Struthio camelus: one gene and its partner. The protein of the gene in region 2 interacts with the protein of the main gene of each other region in a pairwise test. Links are inferred from orthologs where the notes say so. Each region holds a gene or a part of one and is shown on either strand. Other genes may lie near its edges. The genes, in order: CDK18 and CCNK.

The links.
Region 1: the proteins of CCNK (region 2) and CDK18 interact in binary tests that used the Homo sapiens proteins (3 or more experiments, as listed by UniProt). The two-hybrid records come from large-scale screens. The link is inferred for Struthio camelus from reciprocal best matches to the Homo sapiens genes CCNK and CDK18.

Annotation. Positions count from the first base shown.
Region 1 is NC_090965.1:7,314,210-7,323,548, reverse strand, and holds the start of CDK18 (cyclin-dependent kinase 18), read right to left. Parts: upstream 3,665-9,339; 5' UTR 3,603-3,664; intron 2,419-3,602; exon of another isoform or gene 2,010-2,418; intron 1-2,009. UniProt on the Homo sapiens protein: May play a role in signal transduction cascades in terminally differentiated cells.
Region 2 is NC_090946.1:69,597,193-69,606,288, reverse strand, and holds the start of CCNK (cyclin-K), read right to left. Parts: upstream 3,552-9,096; 5' UTR 3,438-3,551; intron 2,848-3,437; exon of another isoform or gene 2,700-2,847; intron 2,463-2,699; 5' UTR 2,201-2,462; intron 399-2,200; 5' UTR 328-398; coding exon 131-327; intron 1-130. UniProt on the Homo sapiens protein: Regulatory subunit of cyclin-dependent kinases that mediates activation of target kinases.

The DNA of each region.
Region 1 (9,339 bases), on a different chromosome or scaffold from region 2:
CACGCCTATCTCTGCCAGCATCCCCATGCTCTATAGATCTCAGCGAGCAAACCTCTGCGAACAATGCAAGGTCAAGTGTTAACAGATGGGGAAACTCTGACATGGGGATGCAGTGACTGGTCCAAGGTTAGGGAGAGAATCAGTGGCAAGGCCAGCAACAGAGTCAGATCTCTACAGTCCTGTTCTTTAGCCACAACATTTCTTCTCTTTTCCAAGCAGAATAAGAGTGCAGGAACTCCCAGCCTTTGCTGGGGAGGTTATCCCACTACTGATTTCTTAATTCACCCTGACCCTCCCCCGACAGGGCATCCATGCTTTTTTTGTGCATGAGTCTGGGCTCCTGGAAACAAATCTGTGAAATCTGCAAAACCTCCCATTAAAGGGATGTGGTCCTGCCTGAAGAATGGACATCAAAACTGGCACAGAAGTTTTCTGGTATGACAGTGGAAAAAAAGACTAAAAATCAGAGCAAAGGGGACACACACACACACACACACACACACACAGAAGAAACAGTACAGCTTCATGCACAGGGTGCTACCTGGCGATCCAGGTTCCCACCTTCTGTTCCTGCCTCTGCTCCTTCTTTGCTTCAGGCTCTTGGACACATCAGGTCCTATTGATGTGCTTGTGTTTCCTCCAGGGAGGAAAGGATGCTCTAGACTACAAATGCACTTTGAGAGCTAAGTGCCAATCACCAGCACCGATAGTAACTAATCAGTTACCATCAGTGTTGGTCTGGTGTTTGTATCAAAGGAATAGAATTTCAGGATTGTCTTTTCAGACGTTTTTGGTGACCTCTCCACAGATGGGGTGACCCAGAAACCCTGTCACTGCCTCATGAGGCTGGAGGACAAGGCTCAGTTTGCATCTAACCACATGCTCCAGCTCTTTGTGTTAGTGCATGCTGCAGCTCTACATGCTGCCCAATTGCCACTGAAAAGGAAATGAAATCCCATTTTTCTTGCAGGAAGAGGGCACTCACCTTTTTACAAAACTCATCCAGAGGCATGAACTTTCTGCCTGCTGCTTGTTCAAAGCACTTCCCCTCCCCTTTAGGTCCTTTCTCCAACCCCCAGCATGCACATATGTCACACCACTCATTTGGCTGGTGGAGAGCACAAAAAGCCCAATGCCAGCAGCCCCAGGCCTGACCCTGATGCTTCCTCCCTTTCAGAGTTAATGCCACCATTGTGCCCACCAGCCTGCATGCTCATTCCAGTTTGTTTTTGTGCCGAGAAGAGCCAGTCTGCTGAAGCGCAACTGGCACAGGAGCCAGTGCTGGCATAGCAGGGAGACAAGCTCTCAACAGGCTGTCTTGCCTGGGTAGCTCCTTGCCAGTGAGGACGGGAACAGGCATTCTGGGGACAAGTTCTCCACACCCCTAGGAACTTTGTCAGAGCAACAGGCGCACTGGTGAGATGCAGCTGATACCGACAGCCGCAAAAAGTGCAGCGCAAGGAGAACGCCGTGCTTGCAACCAGCCAGCAGAATGACTCCTGCCTGAGCAGGGGAACACACCGGGCAGACACCCTGGTGGCATCCCCCCAGCAAGCAGCCCTGGCAACTTTCACACTGGAGACAGCAGCGTCCTCCCCTTCAGCCTGCCTGCTTCCTTCCCAGACGGTCCCACACTAGAGGTGTGCAAACAGCACACGTTGGACAAGTCGATACTGACAGCAGGGCGGTGGTATAGGGCTGCCTAAACCCCTTTTAGGATGGTTCCACCAAAACATTCAAGGGATCTCATCCACCAGGGAAGGGACCGGTATAAATTCTTGCTGCGCTTGTATAAATCCGATTGTCACCAATACCCTCCCTCACCACATCTCCAACTTCTTCTCTCCCCTCCTCTAACACTTTGTGCCCAAACAGTCCCGAAACCTTCCCTCCGTCCTTCCAAAGGGAGCGACAGCCCCTGCCAAACGGCTGCTGGGGGCAAGGGGGGGGGGGGCAGCCCGGGCCCCTCTCCCGGCTGCACCTTTGCTCTGTTTACACCAGGCACTTACCGGGCCACGGGGGCAGCTCAATCTCCTTCCTCCTTCCTGCCGCAGCGGCGCCGCCGTGCCCAGCCGGGTCCCGGAGAGAAGAGAGGGGCAGCTTCTCCGCGGGGGTGCGGGGCCAGCGCCGGAGCGGTGCCGGAGCGGGAACCGGAGCAGCGCTGCAGCGGCGCCGGTGCCGGTGCCGGTGCCGGAGCGGTGCCGGCAGCTCGCTCGCTCGCTCCGTGCCGCGCTGGCTCCTCCCCAGCGCAGCCGCGGGCAAACAAGCCGCGCTCGGCCCCAGCGCCCTCCCCGCTGGCCCGGGGATGCGCCGGGAGCTGCTGCGGGCTGGAGCCGGCCCTGCTCGCCCTGCGCGGCCGGGCGCCGAGCTGCTCTGCAGGCTGGGGAGCTGCACACGCACGCACGCACACACACACACACACCCCTCCGCACCCTCAGCCGAGAGGTCAGGGGAGTTCCCTCCTGCAGCTCTTCCTACCCGTCCCTGAGGCTGCGGGCGGATGCGGCGGCCCTCGGTTTTGCGCGGGGCGCGCACGGCACCCCGCAGCCTGGGCAGAAGCGGGAGGCTGAGGCCGGCTGGCAGCCCGGCTCTGCCTTCCCCAGCCCGTGGGAAGTGCTAAGGCGCGGGCGGCCCTTGGGCAGCCTCGGAAATTTTGGCCGCTGTGGCTCCAGCAGGGTTGCGCGTTTAGCAGCAGCTTCGCCTTCCGCGCTGCAACTATTTATTGCCTTATACTTAGGCAAGCGTTCTCAGTTTGCCAAAAATAGACCAACCATGGAAATAAATCAGGCTGACTGGAGGTGCCAACATCATCTGTTGAAACTAATTAGTTTCTTATATCCACTGCTATATTAATCCTTGCCCTCCCTCTACAGACCATCCTGTCAGGAGAGTTTTGTAAATTAATGGGATGTTATGCTCAAATCTGAGGGATGTGCAAAAGGTTTTGCGGCTGGGGAAGACAGAGGGATGGTAGCAGGACACCTGTGCAGGGAAGGGACAAAATCCATCTACGCAGGGAATGGGGAAGGGGAACCCTGAGGACACGCAGCAGAGCTGGTGAGGAGGAAGACAGAGGGCAGAAGCTCTCTAGAGGGAAATCCTATCTCAGGAAAGCATGTAGGATGAACTTCCTGCCAGACATCTGAGAATCCACAAGGAAGACTATCCAGAAGACACAAATCTGGGCTTCCTTCGTTCTGCTGCTCGCAGAACTCCTCTTTCCCTTTTCCTTTCTGAATGTGGGAGTCTTGGGAAACTTGCTAACTCTCATTTCTTGTATTAGAATCATCAAGTTTGCTGGAAGACACTTTGAGGAAGAGAGAACTGGTTCCCAGATGGCATTGCAAAAGCATAAAAACTGAGCACCTCGTGGGGGAAAGGGATGTTCTGCCACGCTGTTCAAAACTCCATTTTGTTTGTTCACCTTCACCCTGTCTATAGCAACACTCAGCCAAGACCTGAAGCCCTTAGCAACACTCACCCACTCTGTGCATGGGGTAAAACATTTGACACCAGCTCTCCAGTCAACTCATTTAGCGAGCATGTGAATGTAAGTCTAGTCTGAGCACACAGGCCTGAATAGGCTTTGAACTGCAACTCACCCTCCAGGAGTAGATGTGGGAGTTCACACTTGGGGCACAGTACCCAGCTGGGGACTAACGCAAACTTTGCAGCAGGGCTACGATCCAGTCCTCCGCGACGCTGGGCAAGCCGCCTGTGTCCCACCAACCCACCCCACCTGCAAAACGGGGATCTGCATCCTTCGTTCTGCGGGGCTTGGGGAGGAGCAGCAAAGACCACAGATCCAGAAGCAAAGTGTGAAGGCTGGCTCTCAGCTTCTGTGGAAGGCTGCCCTCCCTTAACCCCTAGTCAATGAGTACCTGGTCATGTGGGCTGGAAAATCAGAGGCAGCTCTGTGTGACGTTAGCCATCACGTTCCCTTTACACCACTGGCTGCAGAAACTGGCACGTTTTCCTTAGCCCAGTGGTCCAGCCAGGCTCTGGCATACCTCTAACTTCCACCCTCATCTGTCTCATCTATTTAGAGCAGGGATGGCTTCGGGTGGAGAGATGTCTCAAACATTTATGCGCAGTTCCCAGCACAGTGCAGCCCTCAGCATAACAACTGCTGCCTCTCGCTCCATACCACAGCTCTGACAGCTGCTCACCTGGCACTATAAGCTCATTTTAATACAGAAAGCAGAGGATAACCCCAGCAAAAGCTGTATCTAGTTAGGTGGAACAAGCCCCAGAACTGGAGATTGACAAAGAAACCAGCTCTGTAAGAGAAAGAGGTGATGTGCAAGGGGAAAGAAGCAGTTGTTACAAGCAATTAGTGGACAGAGACACAAGCTTAGCGGCTGTGTTTCACAAGCTGCTTATTGGTGCGTGATATTCCTCATAAACATAAATTACAATAATCACCACGCCAGGAAGGGATCGCTATAATCCTGATGGGGATGACTTTGAGAGGAGGATGTGGAGAGACAAAGCACTTCGCTGGTACAGCCAGAAAAGGAGAGATTCCTGTGCCTGTGCGTTCACAGACACAACGGGAAAGGAGCCACATTACACGGCGTGATAGGTGTTCACAAGCATGCGGGTCAAAAACACAGTACATCTCCCCAGCAGACTCTAGCACAGTACTAACTAGACTCTACACAGTGTAATGGGGCTGCGTCCGTTCCACCAATAATAGCCCAAAGCAAACTGTCCCTTAATGTGTGCTCTTTGAAGGGCAACATGGTCTGAGGTCACTGGTGTTGAACTTGGCACCCACCAGTGGATGCCTCTGCAATACTGAGCAGTGCATTTGCAAGGCAATGCCTGCAGGGCATTTTTCAAATGTGCCAACTTCATGGCTGAGCAGAAGACAGATATGCTTGGGGTTTTTTTGCAAGATTTTCTGGAATTACTCTGTTTTTGCAGGGTTATTTTTTTCCTTTTTGCATTGTCACAGTGAAATTGCACAGCTTCATGGACTTTCGGGGGAAATCTGGGGTGAAGATGGGCTCACTGCAGTCAGGAGTATTTTGCAGAAAATGGATCTGGCTGGGAAACTGTAAGACTTTGCAGAAGTCCTTGGTTGTGATCACCTCAGCTCATGCTGGGGGATACTTTGCTCAGCAAACCCCTGCCCTCCTCCACTTACGCAGTTCCTAGCATGTCGCTTGCCTGGTGCAGTCAGAGGACTGCTGGAATGCAGCCCACAGCTGCTCTCCCTTTTTGATATCACTTGCATCTCTTAAAGATACAGGCCTTGCTTCCTCACCCCTGCGCCTGTCTGTGGTCACCTTCCTGCAAAGAGAATCTCACCCCAACTGCACATTTGTTTGGGAGAGAAGAGAAGGAGGAGGTGTGAAAGAGAGAAGGCTACAGCAAGCAGAGACAGAGAATTGCATGTTAGTGTCTGTCTCTACCCAAACAGGCACGGCAGGTTGGATCCTATCCCCGAGTGGGGCTGTGATGCACATAAGCAAGGATGATGGCTCTGACCTGGTCATGCCATTGGCACAGTCCTAGGACTCCTCACAAGTTACAAACGCAATTTACACCTATAGTTGCCTGCGCAGCTTCCGCAAGGCAGACATCCTTTTCAACAGAGAGGAACACATCCATCTTCTCTGTAGGAGGAATCCTGTTTCTGCTCTCGAGCCACAACATCACTCACCCTCCTCACCTCTGCTGAAGAGCCACCCCTGAGACAGAGCAGCAAGTGCTGCTGAGCTGGGCCACTTTGTTAAGCCAGAGGGAAATGTTACCTCTGTTTTGTACACTGCAAGCAGCATGCAAGCTAGAGAGTATTTTCCAAAAGCAGCAGGGAAGGCTGCAGCATCCTGAGTAGCATTTTAATCACAGACCCAAGGGGATTGCTAGGGCTGCTCTTCTCCAGAACACTCTCCGTCAGCAAACACCTCTGCAGAGATGTGAGAAAGAGCACGGAGGGGTGAGTGCAGCCTCGGGGTGGTGGGGAGCACAATCCCACACTGAGGGAGCTGGTCCCAGAGGTACGGCCAGCACGAGGGCAAGCCCAGGGTGTGCACACCTTGTCCTCGTGCAAACTTGTCCGAGGAGGGGGCTCTGGGAGCACAGCATGGAGCTAGGGCCAGTGCAGCGCCTGTGCTGTAAAAAAATCCTCTGCCTCATGTATGTTCTCCATGTGGCTTCTAGCCAGACACATTAAAACCTCCCCTGCTCTCCCTTGCAGGGCTGAGGCCCCATCGGGGACACTCCATCCAGCCCTCGGCACCCAGCATCAGCAGAGAGGGAGGAAAGTGCCAAGGCTAGCTGCATGAACAGCCAGCGGGCTGGGAAACCTGCCTTAGGAGGAGCCTGAGGGAGTTCAGGCTGTTTAGCCTAAAGGGCAAAAAGCTGAGCAGCAGTGACAGCAGTCTTCAGATGGATTCAAGTGGAAAGGAGCAACCTGTCCTTGGTGACTTCAGTAGGGAGTGCCCATTGCGGACAGGTATAAGAATCTGCAGTTTTTGTTACAAGCTGTTTAGCCCTCATTTAATACCTTCCCCCAGACTGGAGGCAGCCCTGCCCGCCTGTCGCAAGAAGTTATACGCTCCCTGTGCAGTGACCTGCGGAGAGACAGGAGCTCACCTACGCCGTTGCCAAGCCAGGAGGCATCGAGTCAAAGCCAAAGCTGAAGCTGTTCGGATGTGCTTAGCAGGGAGCTGCATGGAGCGAAGGTGCCAAAACTGACCAAGCGATGAAGTGCCAGACCCAATAAGACCCAGTTTAAAAAGATACGACTGCTGAACAGTGCTTCGCCCAGTAGGCATTACTGTCTGCCTAGAGAAAGGTTCAGAGCTCCAATTTGCAACCTAGTCCTCTCACCACTCATTAAAGGCCAGGCAATCCTAATAAATATAGAAAGTATATTAGTGATGACCAAGACTGGAGCGTTAGAGAAACAGCAACATGAATGTGCTTGCCTCGTCTATGAAACACAGGTCAGCTCCAGGGGGATTTCACCTGTTTTCCGCCTGTAGCTCTTCTGGCCTCATTCCCCTGCCACACAGAGCATCCCTCCACATCCCCAGATGCTCATAGCGTGTTTTCTCCACTACTAAACTCACGTGGGCACGCATGTGTCCTGCTTCAAGGCAAGTGGCTGTGTGCAGGTCCGCAGGGAATATTTTACAGTCACTGCATCCAGGCAGCAATTCCCTTTCCCATTGCCCTGACATTCAATAGTAGTGCAGGCACCGAGTCATGGAAAGAAAATGTGTTCAGTCCCTCCCCTGCCCATGGACAGTTCTCCCTTGTGCACGCGCAGGCATGTGGAAATCATTGCCCAGAGAGCAGTGCTGCATTTCAGCAACCATCAGAGCGCTTTAGTTTAAAGGCTGGCTGTTAAAACAAGGAAAACTGGCAAATGGCCCCTGTGTTAAAGGGCCCAGTCCGACACGTCCGGATCTGCTTTTACGGAGTGCTGGAGAGGCCACATGAAAACACTTCTGTCATCTGGAGGGTGGCTGCTACAGCACCACAAGGCTCAGTGTGTGCATGCCACTCTGCATAGTGTTAACAAGGGGTGTAACTGCTCTAGGTCACCCCGTCTAAGAGTCACCCCCATAAATTGCACCTCTGTTGGGCATCTGCAACTCCACTGACTCCGGGAACGTAAATGGGCAAGACAAAAGGAATATTGTTATTCCCGTTTTACAGATAGGTGAACTGAGGTATAGGAGAAAGACAGACAAGTTCCGATAGCCTTGTTAATGCACACTAGCGCTGATTCCAACTGCTAAGAGAGCTACCTCAAGGTCACACTGCAAAGCTCCGACAACATCCATAATCGAGCCCAGACAAACTGCAGTCTACTCTTGTCACACACACGAGAAATGAATCCATTAACTCCCTTAAAAGACCAATCACCCTGAAACTAAAGGAGGTAAAAATCACTGCAAAAGTTAATGTGCTGCATGCTTCACACAAAATAAAGTCACTATCCACAAAGTATAGTTGGCCAAAATACAGCTGACCATGGCAACCAGCAAGCCAATTGCAAACTGGTGAATCCCAGCAGCAGCTCCTCTTAATTTTGCTCATGGAGCATCACCATAACAACGGATGCACCAATCCAGAGACTCACGCACTTAGCAACCAGAAGCTGCCAAATTATGAAAAAGTAAAAATTATGCACAAAGTATTTCCTCCAGGATCCTACTGTAGATGTATTCCATTGCAAAACTGCATGCAGCATGGTGGACATAGCCAGAGAAATGCACAAGGAGAGTATGATGAACACTTCTCCTCCAGTGAGTAGCTTTGGATCAAAAGCATCCACCGCCCTGCAGGCAGCAGGCATTACTAGAAGGTAAGTAAGTTTGGCCTTTGGTTTTCACATTTCGCTCAGGGCTGCGTGTGCCCTCCTGTCTATTACACAGCAGAGAGGGAAAGCCTTAAAGCAGGCACAAGGCCAACACGCAGAACTGGAGCTGATGGCCACATAACAACACTTAGGCCTTGCACTGGCCTCCTCAACTGTCCAGGTGGGTTTAGGAGGTGCTTCTTAGAGGTCAAAGCATCTTAGCTTCACAGAGACACTCTGCTGGGAGAGACTGCTGTGTTTCTAAAGCAACTTAATGCCAGCACCAAAGGAGTTTGCTCCCACGAGTGGACCTTGTCCCTCATGATATGGTGTGAAGCAAGAGCAGAAAGGAGATAAGTTACTTTTTCAGGGAACAATCCATCTCTCTCCCCACTGACTCACTGACAAGCTTCCCTTTTTCCAAGGCAGTTCACAGGGCGAGCAGTATGCTGAACAATCCTCTCTACTGGAAAGAGATGAGTAAGTACCCCAAGCAGCTTAAATCTCTGCTTCCTTCTTGGGAGTGAGGAATGCTGGGGTTAAAGTACTGTAGGGGAATGTGCCTGGGCAAACAACAGATCAAACGCTTCTCTTGTTCAGTGTACACCAGAAATACCAAAGTGTTTGGCGTTTCCTGCCAAGAGAAAGTGGGAGTCCCTACTCAGACCGAGACCAGCCATACAAGAAACACCCAATGGTCAAGAAGAGCATCAGAAGTGGCTTTCCAGCCCAAACCAACAAGAGGCCTATTAGCAGGGTGCAATCATCTGGCCTAGGCAGTGCAGGAGGTCTGGCTGGAGAATAATGACTCTTCCTAGCCTTATGCCATAGGAATGGATGGATGGAAAGGGAGGAGCCATGTCAGCAGGCTGGCACGATTCAGCAAGAACAGCTTGGGTGGCACCGGAAAGGGACTTCCTCACTGCTGACCGACAGCCTCAGCATGTTAAGCCAGGATTCGATGCTTACCACTCAGTCTGCTAGCTATTTTCAGCCTAAATGAGGGATCCAACCCA
Region 2 (9,096 bases):
TGAAACTCACTGTAATTACTGGCAAAATAACATCTGAATGACTAAGCAAATAAAGCCATTTTTAGTATGTTTTATTTTTAAAACCTCAATTCAAAAAGACATTTTATACCATCATGAATTTAAAGGATACAGGCCTAAGCGTGTTCCTACATCAAATATGAATCTGGCCCCCTCCCTGCGGTATCTTGCTTCCGTAGCTGGATCCAGCCCTTCTAGCTGCGAAGGTGTATGTGCCAAATCTTTCTTATCCCAATACCAGCATGGCTTTGTATGGTCCAGGTTTGCCAAGTTTACAGAAGGACTGGAATTTTCTTTATTCTCCTTCATTTATTAAAATAGAATTGTGTTCTTGCTTGTTAAGTTTTCAAAAGAAAGTCTTCGGGTAGTAGCTCTAGAACCTTTAAGAAAAGGAAAACATATGTCTTTAAAAATACCAGAAAGGGAACTTTTTTATCCCTTCTCAAAGACAAGTCATACTTAACCTCTCCCTTATCTCCCCCATATATTGGGAATTCAATTCAAAGAACAAAGGTCATCTTTGATAGTAACCCTTTAATAAAGAAATTCAAAAGTACACTATTAAAAACACTTATTTTTAGCAGTACAAATTTCACTTACTTTGTCCACAAAATAAGGAAAAACAATTCAATGATGGTAACAGCAAGATTTGAAGTGGTAAAAAAATAAAATTTTAATTCAGACCATTGTTCAATAACTAAGAAACCCATCCATTAGGTCCGGCTGAATGGCAATTTAAACACATAGTTGATCTCTTGGATATATCTGGGTGGTAAGATGGTGGCAATAATTCGGCATAAAGCTTTGTAAATTGTGTGTGTATGTTATTTAAAGAAAAAAAAGGAAAAAAAATAAAGATCAAGACCAGTAATGTGAGTCTGTATGGTACTGTGCCATCTAAAACCACCTCCAAAATGAGGCAACTGATTACACTCAATTAGTATGTTATTTTCCTGTGCTGACTTGTACATCACAAATCTATATTGACAGCATACAGCTCCACAGATAACTTGTTGGCATTTAGGTTATGACCGATGTTCACGTATGTCTCACTTAAAAGAGAGAATGAAGACTGTCTTCGCACCTTTATCTCTTTCAGACTAGAAAACAGGGATAAGACTATTTTACTGCAATTCAATAAACTAGAGATACTACTCACAAACTACTGTAGTCACCTGCAAAGGTTCCTGTAGGGAATGTTAATTAACAGACGATATAATTTACTGCTCTAAGCATAACAATCCAAGAAAGACTCAAATGTAAAGCTGTTAAAATTAAGCTAAGCTTAATTTTCCAAATGTTTCCCTCGCAAAAGTAAAAGAAAACTACATGAACAGTCAGAATACCTATGCCTACAATAAATACCTTTCTCTACCTTCAGAAAGTTTCTCTTTTTCAGAACAAAGGAAACCACCTTTGCTCCGTATTCACATATGGAGACCCTCCACTGTCTTACTAGTGACAGATCAACCCAACCTCTGTCACAAATAAGTGAATAGCTACTTGAAAGCATTTCTAGAGTCAGCAAAACAGTTCAGTGGCATCACCACGCGCTCCCATTGCCATTATCAAGTATTATTTCCGCAAGTTTTGGAGACCATTTTCTTCAAAGTTCGTTTTGATGCTTAAAGTTCTAAGTAGTTTAAAGCTCAACTAACATTAAAACTCCCTTTCTGAAAAGCAACGAGAGAGCTGCTTTTATGAGCACTAAAACCATCCCCAAATGAAAATCTGTAAAAAACAAACAGGCAAAATATTAAAACCCCTAAAGGCGAATTCCAAGCAATCACCTCAAACTCTCCAATTAAGACCACAATAATCAAAAGCAAAATAACACGGGGCCTGAGATTTTTCTTTACCACCTCGTAAAGGTGAAAAGACTTTAGAGAGAAGATTCAGTTTTTTTTTTGTTCTGTTCTTCTTCTCTGAACAAACTAGTTGACAGCGCCCAGCCTCGGCAGCCCCCAGGCCGGGTGGGGGCAGCTCCTCCCGGCCCCCCCGGTGCTCCTCCCGCCGCAGACGAGGCCTCCGGAGCCCGGGCGGGCGCTCGCTCCCTGTCCCGGCCAGACACTGCAGCCTCCCCGTTGCTTTCTCTTCCTCCCCAGCCAGGCCCCCCAGGCCACGGCGCGGAGAAGGCGGGCCGCCCCGGTGCCCCCCCCCCCGCGCCCCGTAACGCACTCACAGGCCACGCACAGGAGAGGAAACCCCACAGGAGCGCAGAGCCACTAACGACAGCGCGGCCTCCGCTCCCTGCGCGCCGCCATCTTGGGAACCAGGCCAGGCCGCTCTCTGCGTCATCACGCCGACGTCACGAGGGCATAGCGCGCAAGCGCCGAGCCGCTGCCGTCTAACGGCCAATGAGAGCCAGCAGCCCCCGCAGCCAATCCCGTCTCCTTCAGCGTCTGCGAAGCTCGAGGAGGAGGCACGCGACGCGCTCCCGTAGCCTTAGAATGACCAATCAGAAAGCAGGAGCGAGAAGATTGCAAGCCGAGCCAGCCAGTAAGAAGCCGGAGGCACGGATTAAACTGCAGCCAATGGGAGGGAAGCAGCCATGCCCTTTTCCAAGACCGGTAGCGAAGGCGAAGGGGTGGTCGCTGGGGATTGGCCGCTACGGGCCTCGGAGGGGGCGGGGTCTTCCTTGTCGGCCCGGCTGGGCCAATGGCGGCGGCGGAGGGCGGGGCGGGGCCGCGGGCGGGGCCGGGCGCTGGGAGTGCGGGGCTCGGGCTAGCTCGGCCGCCGCCGCCCGCCCCCGGCAGCGGTGTCCGGTGAGAGGAGCTCGGCTTCGGCGCCGCTCGCAGCGGGCGAGGCACAGCCGCCGCCGGGCGGGAGGTAAGGCGGGGCCCCGCCCGGCGCCCCCCCGCCCGCTGAGTGGGAGGCCAGCGCTGGCCACCAACTCCCCCCCGCCCCAATCCCGTTGCCCCCGGCCCGGACCCCCTCCCGGCGGGGAGCGGCGCCTTCCCTCGGCCCCCGGAGGAACCTCGCCCCGCCGCCCGCCCCGCCGCTTCCCCTTCCTGTGGGACGCGCAACTCTTTCCGGACACCCTCCTCCCCGCCGCGGGGCGCGCAGCGCCGGCCCAGGCCTCGCCGCCCCCTTCGCTCCCGTCACGGCGCTGTCCCCAGGCGCTCTCCCCGCGGCGTTTCCCCCCTGCCCCGCGCGCTCGGCTCCGTGGCAGCCCCCGCCTCGCCGTGGCGGGCAGGCTGGGCGCCCACTCGCGCCCTCGCGGGCGGCCGTTAGCCGGCCGTTAGCCGCCGCGCGCCCACGCGCCGCGCCCCCCCCTCGCTCGCGGGGCAGCACCGGCCGGCCGGCCGGCCCGCCCGTCGGGGGCGAGGCAGCCTCCGTGCCGCCCGCCGCGGGGAGCGGGGTGACGCCGCTCCGCCTCGCGGCTCCCACTCGTCATCCTGTTTCTCTCTCCCACTTACTTGCCAGCGGAGATTGGCGTGCTCTCCGCGGCCCACTGCCTGTTTGCTCTTCTGCTCCGACGTGGGTGGGTTTTGTTTAAACCCGAGCGGCGTGATTTCAGAGTGAGTTGAGGCAGTGGCATTCACTTCTTAATGCTCGTTTCCCTTGTCCCATCCCCCAGGCGTTGATAAGAAAGCGGAGTTAAACAAATGGCTTAAAACTGCTTTCTCCATGATGTAATTCCTTTTTTTACATGTGACACATTTTGAATACTCGCTACTCCTACTTCTCTAGCTTTCCAAAGCCTCCCATACCTCCAGTTCTCAGGATCTGGCTCAGTAACAGTTCTGCTGGTATGCGATTCTTTAGTGCCTTTCCATGGCAGTGAAAGAGCACTCTATTTTGTTTCTTTTTCTCACGCAATCTGGAACTTGCTTTTATAAAGGGGCTAAACCTAATAGGAAAAAAAGTGACTTAAAATTAGAATAAACGTTTTACATTTAGGCCAAATATGATTCAAACTGCTTATCTGAGTGGGAATTACTCCTGCAACAGCCTGGGTTTTGCAACCTCTCCATATTACTACAGAAGTTGCTGAAACAGAACTTGTATTGAAACTGTTCCTCATCTTCCTTTCCTACTCGGAGCAGGACTTGTATAGAGTTGCTTAAGTTGAGGCTGTATTTTGCATGTGTCTCTAGTTCTGAACAATTTCCTAACCTCTACGTTAGAGTGGCAGTTCAAAATAAAGCATTTTGAAACTACTGTACATGAGTAAGAGGCTGTAGCGTTCTACATGTCTGATATCTTGTTTATGTATAAAATAGTAAGCAGGTGTAGAAGTTGTTAGAGAGAATAGCATGATGGGCCAAAAGAGGACGGTATTTTCAGATATTTGTGCTCAGTTAGGTTATTTAATATGGTAAAGATTCAAGCATGCTAGCTTTCACTTTAATGGAGGTTTCAGTTATGTTTAGCTAGCTGGATTGAAGTATGTGTTGAAATAAAATCTGAAAAATACATCCTTGTCATGGCACCCGTACAGATAGATCTAGGGTCTTGGCAAGGGAGGGAGAAGCTTAAGCCCTGAAATAATTTGTAATCTGTATATTGCTGTTTCCAGTTAGGGATGGTCTGAGCTATATGCCGAAGTTGGATCTAAATTTTTAAATAGGCTTCTAGTTGTGATATTGTACATACTTTAAAAATAAAACCCATTATGTCCCTCTGTATAGAAAAGTGAACGTCTTCGTGACATTTTTATTGTAATTAATGCAATGAACTTAGGTATAATATTTCACCATAATGATACTGCTCATACAGTGCAACTGATGTATTGGGTATTTTGCAGAAGATGAGTGTTTTGGTGGTGATTCTTTAAAAGAAAGAGACAGTCTGAGGGTATTAGAGATCTCAGGGGATCTGTATTTTTGCTACCAAAACATCATAATGTTCAGCACTTGGTAAAGTAAGGTAGGACATATGATGCCGGTGTGTTAAGCAACAAGTCTTTTTGGAGGCCTGGGCTGTTTTGCAAGTTCTGTCTGTGCCCTGATGTCTGAACCAGGGTGACTTGCTTGATTCTCAGTTGTGAGTTTTAGATTTATAAAGTGAGATTAATATTTTATAAGTGAAGACTATATTTAAAAATATATGAATAAAAAGAGAGTGCATCAGTTTTCATTCTTTTTACTTTAAAGAAAGGAATTTGGAAAAAACTATGTGGGAGTCTTCAGAAAGAGCTAAACTCAAGTAAAAAATGAAATGACAAGAGTAGGATGGCAAAGTAGTGGGAGTTTAGCCTGTCTATTTATTGTTTTCAGCTTTTTTTTTTTCGTACAGAGTAAATATTTTTACTCTTCTGGTCAAAGAGATGTCTAAGGAGCTGGTTCATAAGGGATGTGGAAAGGTTATTAATCGTTGAGAGAGAGAGCCTGAACTGTTGCCTGTGTGGCAGCTAATAAACTCTCTTTCGCTGATCTTCAGGGAAGTGTTTACAGTAAGAAGCATTCCTCCTGCTGAAGACAGTAAGCTTCAGTGGAACAACGGGGAAAAAAACTCATATTTTTAGGTATTAATCAGTTCAGGATTAGCAAGCTGGTAAGTGAGAGTGTTTGACATACAAAAGCATGTCTTTGGATGCCTTATATATTGCCACTCTTCTTTACCCCTTTAGCATTTTGTGTTATTTACCATATAAGAGTTTCTTACCAGAAGTTTATACTTAATTTGAGGCAGTTCTGGTTTTAGTATTTAATCAGGTTCAAGAGAAGTGAAAGAAATAATGTCGGACTCTCTAGTGATCGCATTTCCTACTTTTCTAGTAGTTTTAAGAGTGTTTTGAGCATGCCAGGTCAAAGTATTGTCAAGACAGTGTTCTTTGATTCTAATTATAAGACTCAATGTCTTTGGAAGTTGCTTCCCGATAACTAGCTGAATTTGGTAAAATAGGTGGAATTTATAAGTGGATCAAATAAACATTGAGCTAATTTTAGTAACTATTTTTGATATTACTCTATGGCTTGGCTGTTTATCATAGTAATATTTTTATGATATATTTTTTCTTTCACCTAAAATCGAAATGGTTTAATACAGTTTGCTCTTTTCGGAGTAGTTGCGTGCAGCGCGTACAGCAGTAGTGCTAACTTACCTTTTTTCCAGATGCTTTAGACTTGCGATAATATTAGTGAACCTATGATGGTACAGCTTCTGTTTACTGATGGTACAGTAAACGGGATTCTGAACTTAGTTCTGACTGTCCTTTGTCAACTAAGTTTAGAGGTACTTCAGCTTCCTAGATCTGATTTCAGAGGTTTAAAAATATCTTAGGCAAAAATGAAGTGTAAACTATGTGAAAGGACCAGTCAAATCTATAAATAAAGCACAGCAGGAGTTTTTGATATTACCGTAAAAGTGCCCCATTAGTGTTGTCTGTTTTAGTCTGTGAAGAAGCTTATATTGTAGTAATTAAAAACAAGTTTAGTGCTCGAGTATTTTTACATTGCTTTACGTTCTTGCTCTTGCCCTTCCTCTGCCATAACCTTCTTTGCTCCCTTTTTCTGTTTTTAGCTCCTCTGTCCTACATTGGCTCTTCCCTACATCTCTTCCACCAACTGACTATTCCAGTTGTTCTGTTCCTGTCTGTCCTTTACCCCTTTTCCTATGCTGTTCAGCAGTTCTGCTGCTAACTTTTCTGTACCTTACTCTTTGGAATGCTGAAGAGGTAGCACTAAAATCTTGTTTTCATTTCTGGGATCTGTTATGCAGGTTAGAGCAGAGTATCTGTCAGATGCAGGAAAAATTCCATGTTGTCTTTCTTTGAAGCGTGTTGAGATGTGAGTGACTTTGAGTTCAGTTTTATCTCCAGTGAATACGTGGGAACAGGTGTTTAGATGCCTCAAAGTTGGCCAGGTCTAGGTGATACACTGTTAAGGTGGAAGGTGAGTTTCTGAGCCTCTAGCTGCTGATGTCCTAATAAAAAAGAAAATGGAACTTCTAATTTGATTCTTCTACATTTCAGAAGGATTTTTGAGCCCAAGGCTGTTAAACCCTGTCAAATGCATGGGATGACAGATTAGTATCTACTTCCTGTTATGTTTTACTCTCTGATGTCTTCTCAATATTTCTGAAGGACCTCTGCTGGAAGTGACTGAATGACTGTGCTTGAACTACCATGGCTTTCAGCCAATGTGTTAATGTAGGCCAAAACTGTCTTTGTAACTGAAGATGGACTGTAAATGTACCAGCTATAATTAGCTGCTTTGCAGTTGTTTCTGCTAGAGTGCCAGCAACCTGCGCCTGAAAGGAGAGTGCATCTCTGGGGCTCTTGTGCTAGCACTTTGGTTCTTTTGCATGTAGGTCAATTTCTAGATTTTTTTAAAAATATATTTTATAAATTATATATACACATACATTTTTATATGTATATTATATGTTATATAATATGTAGGGCATGAGAGCAAATACATTGTAGGGTATGATAGCGATGGAAATATGCAACTCCCCAAAAAATTAAAACTCTTTCAGTGCAAACATTGCATGTATGTCTTAATAAGCAGCTAATAGAAATAGCAGAATCTTCCTTTGAAAATTTTTAATGCTTTATAACACTAGTGCCCAAGTCTTCATGTACTGTTATTTTAGCAGAGTGGAAACAGGATATCTTCTGTGGGTTTCCTCTTCCAAGGAACCTGCATCATAGGTCCAGTACTTCCCATGTGCTGGATCTCACTCAGCGTGCCTATATTGATGATAATTTAAGAGGATATGAATTATGGGGAAGGGCTGCAGGGGAATAAATGGTAACCAAGGTGCACTCTGTTTCCTGCCCCAGTGAAGCACTCAAGAGTGGGTGGTGGTGTGGGGAAAGACCTTGAATAACTCTGGGTTGGAACAAGTGTGGTTATCTTTGTGCCTAGTCCTGGAAACATTTGTTAGTTACCCTTACCTGATGACAAAGCTTAATAGCTGTAGCCACATAATAGCTTCAGATACTTTCAGGTTTTTGGTTTCTATTAAAATACTTCAAAAGAAGAGTTCTGAAAGATACAGTTTTGCAAATTTGCCTGTAGGTAATTTAAGTCTCTAGTGTCTTGGTGTCTGCAGTTATGTTGTGAATGTATGTGAGCACAAGTATAGAATGTATAGAAATGTTTACCTGGAGAGATGTTCGTATTGTTCCCTTTATTTATTTCGCTTTTTCAAGTTTTTTTTAAAAATAGAAGTTTTACCAGAACCTTAATTCTTCCAGTCAGCAAGTAAAGTTCCCAACCCATGGTCAGAAGTTGATCTGTGAACAGATTGCAAAAATTCCGAGCTTTATCATGTGTGAAAACTTCTCTTTAAGAAAGACAGCGCTGTCCAAGGTGGTCTAAGAATTTCTTTTTTCATGAATAAGTTCTTTGGTTAAAAGATGACTGAGAAATACTATTTCTGCAGACTGGGAGCATTCCAAATATTCGGGAGAAGAACTGCACACCAAAAGTAGTACATAGTATTTTATTTACTATTTGTTAGACTATCTGTTCATGTAGGCAGAAAGAAAGACTGTATTTACACCTTAGTTGTCTAAAGGGGTGCCCTTAAGAGGTGTCACAGAATGGTTGGGGTTGGAAGGCAACTCTGGAGATTGTCTAGTCCAACCCCTCCTGAAAGCAGGGTTGATTAAAGCAGATTGCTCAGGACCTTGTCCAGTTGGATTTTGAATATCTCTAAGGATGGAGACTCCACAGCCTCTCTGGGTAACCTGTTCCAGTGTTCAATCATCTATACAGTAAAAGATTTCTCATATTTAAATGGGATTTCCTGTATTTCAGTTAGTGCTCATTGCCTGTTGCCCTCTTACTGGGAACTACTAAGAAAAGTCTGGCTTGCTTTATTCTCCGTCACCCTCCTCTGCCCCCCCCCCCCCCCCTTCAGATATTTATGCACGTTGATAATATCCCACTGAGCCTTCTCTTCTCCAGGCTGAGCAATCCCTGTTCTCTCAGTCTCTCCTTGTATGACAGATGCTCCAATCCCTTAATCATCTTTGTGGATCTTCGCTGGACCTGGTCCAGTATGTCCACGCCCTCTTTGTACTGGGGAGCTCAGAACATGGCACTCTAGGTGTAGTCTCACTAGTGCTGAGTAGCAGGGAATAATTGACTCCCTCAGCCTGCTGGCAAAACTCTTACTGAT